2 linked regions of the Nothobranchius furzeri genome follow. The main gene of each other region encodes a partner of the protein of the gene in region 2 in a complex. Links are inferred from orthologs where the notes say so. Each region holds a gene or a part of one and is shown on either strand. Other genes may lie near its edges. The genes, in order: ldlrap1b and AP-1 complex subunit beta-1.

Evidence for each region.
Region 1: the proteins of AP-1 complex subunit beta-1 (region 2) and ldlrap1b are in contact, whole or in part, in a crystal structure (PDB 2G30), measured with the Homo sapiens proteins. The link is inferred for Nothobranchius furzeri from reciprocal best matches to the Homo sapiens genes AP2B1 and LDLRAP1. Residues at the interface, in NP_001273.1 of Homo sapiens: Arg834, Gln835, Phe837, Leu838, Trp841, Glu849, Gln851, Ile876, Ala877, Arg879, Val881, Glu882, Gln884, Met886, Tyr888, Glu902, Arg904, Ser915; in NP_056442.2 of Homo sapiens: Asp253, Leu255, Asp256, Ala258, Phe259, Ser260, Leu262, Ala263, Gln264, Arg266, Thr267.

Annotation. Positions count from the first base shown.
Region 1 is NC_091758.1:35,470,838-35,474,755, forward strand, and holds the start of ldlrap1b (low density lipoprotein receptor adapter protein 1b), read right to left. Parts: upstream 2,777-3,918; 5' UTR 2,556-2,776; coding exon 2,471-2,555; intron 1-2,470. UniProt on the Homo sapiens protein: Adapter protein (clathrin-associated sorting protein (CLASP)) required for efficient endocytosis of the LDL receptor (LDLR) in polarized cells such as hepatocytes and lymphocytes, but not in non-polarized cells (fibroblasts).
Region 2 is NC_091750.1:66,891,846-66,895,763, reverse strand, and holds the start of AP-1 complex subunit beta-1, read right to left. Parts: upstream 2,619-3,918; 5' UTR 2,488-2,618; intron 1-2,487. Other genes in the region: tectonic-like complex member MKS1, read right to left, coding at 3,034-3,137, 3,710-3,807. UniProt on the Homo sapiens protein: Component of the adaptor protein complex 2 (AP-2). Adaptor protein complexes function in protein transport via transport vesicles in different membrane traffic pathways.

The sequences.
Region 1 (3,918 bases), on a different chromosome or scaffold from region 2:
AAATTAGCAACAAAATAGCCATTTTCGCTCCGAACCGTTCTTTGAACATTGTTTCAACTGTCATCAAGGAAATAAATGTTACAGATACAATAGATGACACTGGCGCTTTAGCTCACCTAGTTAGATGTCGGACTCTCGTGCAGAAAATCCAGGTTCGATTCTGGATGTGAACATAAATTATTTAGAATTTATTTTTTTTACATTAATGGTATTTTTTTTTTACACTAAGATGCCCAAATTTTTATTTGAAACTCGCCGAACGGCATTGAATTCACAGATAAATATGTGGGTTCAACTTTCATTTTGGAACAATTTTTCAAGCAAGGTAAGGGAATGATCTGAGCATGCAGGAGGACTGACCCATCTTAAACCTTTGTCAGCTGTGCTGAAGAGAAAGGTACAGAACCAAATTATTTAATTCATTAGCTGCGCGTTCTCCTGTCCTCCGGGCCACCCACCCACCCACCCACACACACACACACACACACACACGGGACTGTCTCAGCTGTTATTTTCATTAAGGAGTGTGCACGTACAGCATGCGCGCCTCGTGCACGAGCCTACTATTGAAGCTGCCGTTACTCTTTTGGCCTGAGGGGACAATCGCGAGCATAAAAATTCAAAACTCCATAAAGTCCCTTTAAAGTCAAATAAAAATGTCCCATAGCTTTAACTAACTTGTACAACATAGTTAATCCTGAAGGTGACACTCTGTTAATACTGATTGTGAATCGATTTAAATTGAGAATCGAGAATCAATTCTGAATCGAATCGACACCCCAAGAATCGGAATCGAATCAAATCGTGAGTCGTTTTCAGATTCACATCCCTAGTTGCCAGACTGCATAATTTGGTAGAATTTGTGTGACATTAGAAATCTAAAGCCAAAACCGACTGAGCACTCACCAGCTTCTGAATAATGTGAAAAATCCTAATGAGTCACACAACTGTGATCTCTAGAGGCAGCATCATTAACACACACACACACACACACACACACACACACACACGTGCGCGCAAGTATTAGATTTCTGTTTATCCGTCTTTCACGTTGGCAACGTCACAAAGGACAGCTCCCTGACAAGCCACGAGGGAGTTTTCTGCCTCCCACGCATTTCATTTTAAAAAGAAAAATAGGCCTTTCATACCCAAGAATACTGCTGATGTTTTAAACAATTTCTATCTGTGAAAAATGGAAACTAGCTGGATGTTGTGACCAGGCAGGGTGTCATTACATCAACCCAGCAGGGTGGGATTAAACAGAAAGCATGCAGGAATTAGGCCCAAAAGCAAAACTAATGAGATTGAATTTAATATCGACATGCAGCAATAAATAATACAGACATGACTGATCAACAATAATAAATAATCGTATAACAAATCAACAGTGACAGTGGAAGAAAAGGAGAGAAATTGCAAAACTGCCATTGCAAAAATACATCAATTGTGCCACATGCAAAGGAAAAGGTCCACTTGGGGGGACATTCCTAATGACACAGCAGGCCAAGACAAGTTTATTCACAACACCCAGACTCTGTTAAGTCTGCAATTAGATTGCAACAGCGAAGAAAAGTGGAAGACGAAGAGCTCCTTGATAACAGGCGAAAGAAAAACGGGAACTTCTGATTAATGTTTGACATGTGTGCAGAATGGTTTACAGGACTGGCTTCTGTGTGGTTGAATGTCAAAGGCAGAGGCAGGGTGGGATGCTTGGCCACAGATAACAGAGGGTCAGGGCTGGATGATCGATCAATTTTTGACCAGAAGGATGCTGCTGATTAAGCATCACTCCCCAGGGGAGGCAAAGAGGGGACCAAAACAAAGCATCAGCGTGGCATCCTGCTGCCAGCTCCTCGGCTGCCTTTAGAAGGCATGGAAAGATGGGGAAGCCCCAGGCTTTGTGAACTTGCATTTAAAAGCCCACACTGCTCTTCCGTTTGGCTGACACGTAAAAAAACACACACCTGTCATGGATTAACCAAACCCATCATTTGACCTCATAACAAGTCAGGAATCTGTAATCCTGAAAGAATGTGCAACCCCACCTTCATGCAGCCTCCTGTTTCTCGCACATTATGTATTGCCTAGCAACAGTGCGTTGCTAGGACTGCGCAGGCTTTGCCACGGAGGCGACCACACATTTCTCTCTGGTCTGGATCAGAGGACTGCAGCTCCCCAGCAGAGTGCCTGTTTCACATTTCAAACCCAAACAAACTGATCTGGGGTTTACGCACAGCTCCCCAAACTTCGCTAGTCTCGCGCACGCGAGCTCTGGTGCTACACTTTTCCCACATATTCAGATTAAGTGTCAAGTTCTGGGGCAGAAAGGTAACCTGACACACACACGAGTGTAGCCGACACCTGTACCGAGCGTGCATGGATAAGTTATAAAGCAGGGCTAGGACAAAACACCGGTTAGCAACACAATTAGCACCAGCTAACACCAACACGCACGGTGAGCAGCACTTACTTTTATGTTTGCCCGAACCCCAGGACTGCGTCGCGATACTGGGGCTCCGTATAATTGCCCTCCCGGCGGATTTCAAAGCGTCCATGTCCGTAAACCCAAAAACAGAAGTGGGGCGAAGAGCCCGACGAGCGCGCGTCCGTCTCCGTCGACTCTCTCCCTTCTCTCGGTTTAAAACAGCCCTCTCTCTCCCGAGAAAACTTTTTAAATCGTCTCTTTTCTTCTCCTCAGCGCTCAGCTCGGTTTCAGTCGATGGTGGATTATCATGCTCGTCCTCTGGGCGGTGTTATGTATGTAAATTGGCCGGATGGCGCGTGCGTTACGCCCGTTGTGGTGTCACGCGAGCGGCGCGGCAGGGCGACAGGTCGCGCGAGCGGCAAGAAGGCGCTGCTCCGACGCGCGGCGTGACTGCCCTTCCAGCTGTTCCGCTCAATCTATAACGCTGCTGCTCGCTTTTATTGAGAAGTCTTCCGTTTGTTTCCTGAGCTCCCACTGACGCGCGAAGACACGTCACGGACTCGTCTCACCTCAGCAAGTGGATTAACGAGTCGGGCCGGGCAGACTGGGTCACATCACTGTGGCATGTAGTCAGACAACCAACCACTGCAATAAATGGATTTGTTGTAGTAAAATCTCTCAATCAAATATATTAAAATCACTGGGTATTGAAGAGCTTATTCCACTAATAATTATAATTCACTGTTTGGTGCAAATTGATTAAATAATTTTTCAAGAATAGAATGAAAATATCTGTTTATTAGCTAATTTTCACAAATGTGAAATAATGCCAAGACGAGGGAACAATTAAAAACTGTAATCTGATTACATTTAAAACAGATGTACGCAGGGGTGATTCTAGGAGGGGGCTAGCGCCAACTTGACAGCAAGCTTGGACCCCCCTGCTGAGGGCGGAGCCAAAGCATTAATAATTACTGATTTGTATGAACAAATATTTTCAGGTTGTCATAATAAATAAATTAGATAAAACACTTTTTTAAATAGTTGTATTTTCAAACTGAAAATCTGTTGTAATTATTGAAAAACTTGTAAATAGAAATGTTGAAATAATAATTGTAGTTTTCTCACTATTGTGCTTCTCTAACAGAGCAGATGGCCTCGGCCTGTAAGAATCTCCCCCGATATCATACATTTTCCAATTAGATCATAATTGTTAACCATTACAAACACGGGAGGGCAAAGCTCAACAAAGCTCAACTTCCCTTACCATAAAACATGAGGACTTTTTTTATTTGTAATTAGAAATTAAAATTTAATGGTTAAGAAACTAAAACATGTCCACCCTCACTCATATTTAGTAATGAGATTTAGAATGAAACCAAATGGCATCCCCATGTGTCAGACTGAGACTATTACATCATTATAAAGCACTCAGGAGAATGGCTCGTAAAGGATCCCAGATGAGAAGCTTGGAGACGGGAGTTCAGGAGCCT
Region 2 (3,918 bases):
CTGTAAAGAAAAGATTGGTTTAATGTACAAATGTTATGAGAGACCGACCGATATGGTTTTTTTAAGGCCGATGCATATTTTTAAAGAATTTTGTTGCTGATCGCCGACATTTAAAGCCAATTATTAAGGCCGATATATACGTGTTTTAGCAGCACATTTATTGTGAAAGACAACTGAACACTCACTATGTGCAATATAAATTAAATAGGTCAATAAATCTATTTTTATTCAACTTCAAATACAAAACAAACTCAAAACATTAAAGAACAGGTCACCCCCTACCAGAGTATTACGCCGGGGACACACCGGCCGCGGAAGCGCCGCAAAAATGGGACCGCCTTCATTCGGCGCCCTTGTTAAACTATTCTATAGACCACATGAGCCGCTGAAGCGCCGCGAATCGCCTCGGGCCGGCGCGCGCCGGCGCTCCAGCCCACGCCGTGCAGCGATCATTTCGGCGTCGGCTCTATTTTTTTCGCAAGCCGCGAGTGAATCGCGTCAATTCTGGCAGGAAGTCAAACCTAGACATAAGAGGCAGGCCGGTAAAGTTAACAAAATAAAGCATTTCAAAATAAAATTCCGCAATAGTCAAATGTGTTCGTAATCAGACACTGCAGAAAAACCACACGAACACACACAGACATACACACACATTGAACTTGTGTGCGTGTGTGAGCACGTGAAGGGGGTGTGGTTTTGGGTGTCTTTTCACCGGAGCAAACAGGACAGAGAGGCAGAAAGTCTGAGGCAAGCAGTTAAGATGGATGACTTTAAATTAATTATGGAAGTTGAGAAACACAAGGAGCTGTACGACCCCCGAAAAACATGGTTATTTACGAACCCATTTCGGAAGAAACTGCTAGGATACAGCTGCAGAATTGGAGCGGGTTCCAAGAGATTCAACAGACAGAAACAACTCATACCATAGGTTCACACACACACACACACACTCAAACGTAGAGGAAAAGAGCTGAGAAAAGGCAGAGAGGAAATGGAGGACACCAAGTGTTTAAAAGAAAAACTACAGCTGAGCCGAGGCGCGCCTCGACTGGAGCGCGTCTGATCTGAACTGAGGAGCGGCGAGCAGCGGCCGAATTTCGTGAGCGATTCGCTTCTCGGCGCTTCCGCGGCCGGTGTGTCCCCGGCGTTACTCCACTCCCACTTCCTGTTTGAAATATGCAACAAATGCAGTTGCCTAGCAGACCGAGGGTGGAGCCGCTAACAAATACACACACACAGGCTCACAACAACATTGTAACATCATATGGTACCAGCTAACATTTTAGGGTACCTCTTAGCCAATAGTGATGGCAGATTTAAATTCAAATGCAGTGCAGAGTTTTTACCTGACAACGGCACAACACTGACAGTTATAGGCCGAAAGTTATAATTGTAACTAAAATGCACTAAAGCGCTAAACTTTCGACTACACGTGTCTGCAGCATGATGACTCACATTTATATCAGAAAACATAAAAAATTGATTTGGGGGTGACTTGCTCTTTAAAAAACGGTGTGTTGGGTCCTTTCTTCAGTCTAGTAGTAGTGGCAGTTGGTCATACAGGTGCCCGATTTATTTAATTTTTTCTTAAATCTGCTTTTAAAAATAATTTCGTCCTACATAGAAAAGATAGAAAATATCGGCCGATATATTGGTTGGCCTCTAAATGTTATCATCCTTGGCGTTTATTTCTAACCTCATTTAAAAGGGCTACAACAATTCACAGCAGCTAGATTTGTAAGTAAATCCTTGCTGCAGGAAGAAATGATTCACATGAGCTGCATTTGAATTATTTTATTTTTGCCTCAACAAATACAAAACATTCACACAATCATTAAAAAAGTCCTTAGGCGTGTGTTTCCATAAGATCTGTTAGACTTTTTGAAAAAATTTGCAGGCTTTTTGTAAAAATCTGCAGGACACATAAGTGATCCGACATCAGATTTGACCTTGTTCTGTTTGTTTATGACGCTGGTGGCTCGCGAGCGTTTCAATGAGGAGCCCGTTGCCAAATATACGTTATGGCTTCAGAGACATTTAAGCAACTATTTGCCTCAAACTGTACACCTCTATTAAATATTTACGATAATCCCACAGGCACTAGTCGAGACAGTTCACTGTTTCAGGGCGTGACACTTTTAATCCAGAAACATCAACTTAATACATAATTCCCCTTAGCTAACATTGGTTAGCTTAACGGCTATGTACGAAAAAAAGCATCAACACTCATTCCGCAGTAAACAGCCCCAAACAGTGAATCTAAATAACCACCAGGGTTTTAGTTTCAGAAAACCGATTTCAGTTTTCGTTTGAGCATTAGGCTAAATCTGACACAAAAAAGAGAAAAGCGACCAGCGGCCCAGTTCCCATCGCTACATGCCTACTAGAGATACGCTAAAGCAGCCATACATTGACTAAGACACACAATTTACACATCAAAAAATTACACGATTGCAAAATTAACGTGAAATATGTGTACTTAAGTACCTGGTCGTGTGTGAAACTGAGAGGGAAAATCGCTGAACGGTCCTTTCCCTGGTTGGAGGAAGATGGAGAATGGTGCGTTTACAGTCATGGAAAATTGGACTACTTCCCTTTGGAGCTAAAACGAATGCTACGTTGGAGGACAACCCGCAGTCAGATAATGCGGGTTTCAGTCCATTTGTTTTGTTTTAAAAATGGGGAAAATATACCACTTCATTGCATATTTAATTTTTATTTAGTTAACCTTTATTTCAGATAAGAAAAATAAACAGTAAAATAAATAATAAAAGAAAACAGTACCTTGAATTTTGTAAAAAAAAACTGCTGGTATTATAGTACATTTATTAGACAAGTGTTATGCTCCATCTCCTAATGTTGGTGTAATAAATCGTTTCTGATGATTTTTTAAGTTAATAACATTTGTCAATAAAATGTCAGTTACAGTCTGAGAAGAACAGAAGATGACTTGAGACAAACTTTTCAGTTTTGGAAGCTTGTGCAGGATCCTAAATGCATCTTGAAATGTCAGTTTTAGTGTGTTTTTGGTTTTTATGCAGAAAATTCCAGCTCGAGTTGGGAAGTAGAGTTGATGGCTTTTTGTGGGAACGTTTCTCTGGCCTCTTGTAGCTTTTTGTATGCTCTTTGAAAGGCCTCTGAAGGGAAATAAAACAAACAAACAGAAAATACAAATTAAATTAACCCTGCAGAAAAATTCCCTGTTCTTTCTACATTTTTGTCTACTTTGGGCAATCAAGCTGCAATGCAAGGCTTGGTATACAGTCCATAACATTTTGTGAGTGTCCTAACAAATCCATCTTCCAGTGGTTTGAAATAACGAGAATCTAAATGATAAATGACCCATAATTGTATAGCGCCTCTCAGAGTAAGGACTCCAAAGCGCTGTACACTACAGTGTATCATTCATCCATTCACACACACATTTACACACTGATGGTGATGAGCTACGATGTAGCCACAGCTGCCCTGACGCTCGCTGACAGAGGCTAACTGGTGGCATTATGCTAATTTTCACTCCCGCTATCATAAAATCATTTCATGGTAAAAATAATAAATGGTGGAACATTCAGAGCCTGATTACAGTAAACTTTTTCACTTAACCACACACACAGAACTCACAGCTCACACAAACAAGGATACACTCAGCAGCAAACAGGAAGTGAAAGTCTTTTAAACCCTGATGCAAATACTGTGTGAGTATGTTTACCCAGAACATTGCAAACATCTCCCTGCTGACTAAATCCTCCCAGCTGGTCGATGACTTTCTGCCTCCTCTTTTTCTGAATGGCAGCGTCAACAAAGGCCCTGAAACAACCAGAAGCGAACAGTAAACACTTTTTAAAAGTAAAGATGAAACAATTTGCATTAATAATACAGATCTTTGTGAAATTTGTAAATGGAACACTTGCATTTGCA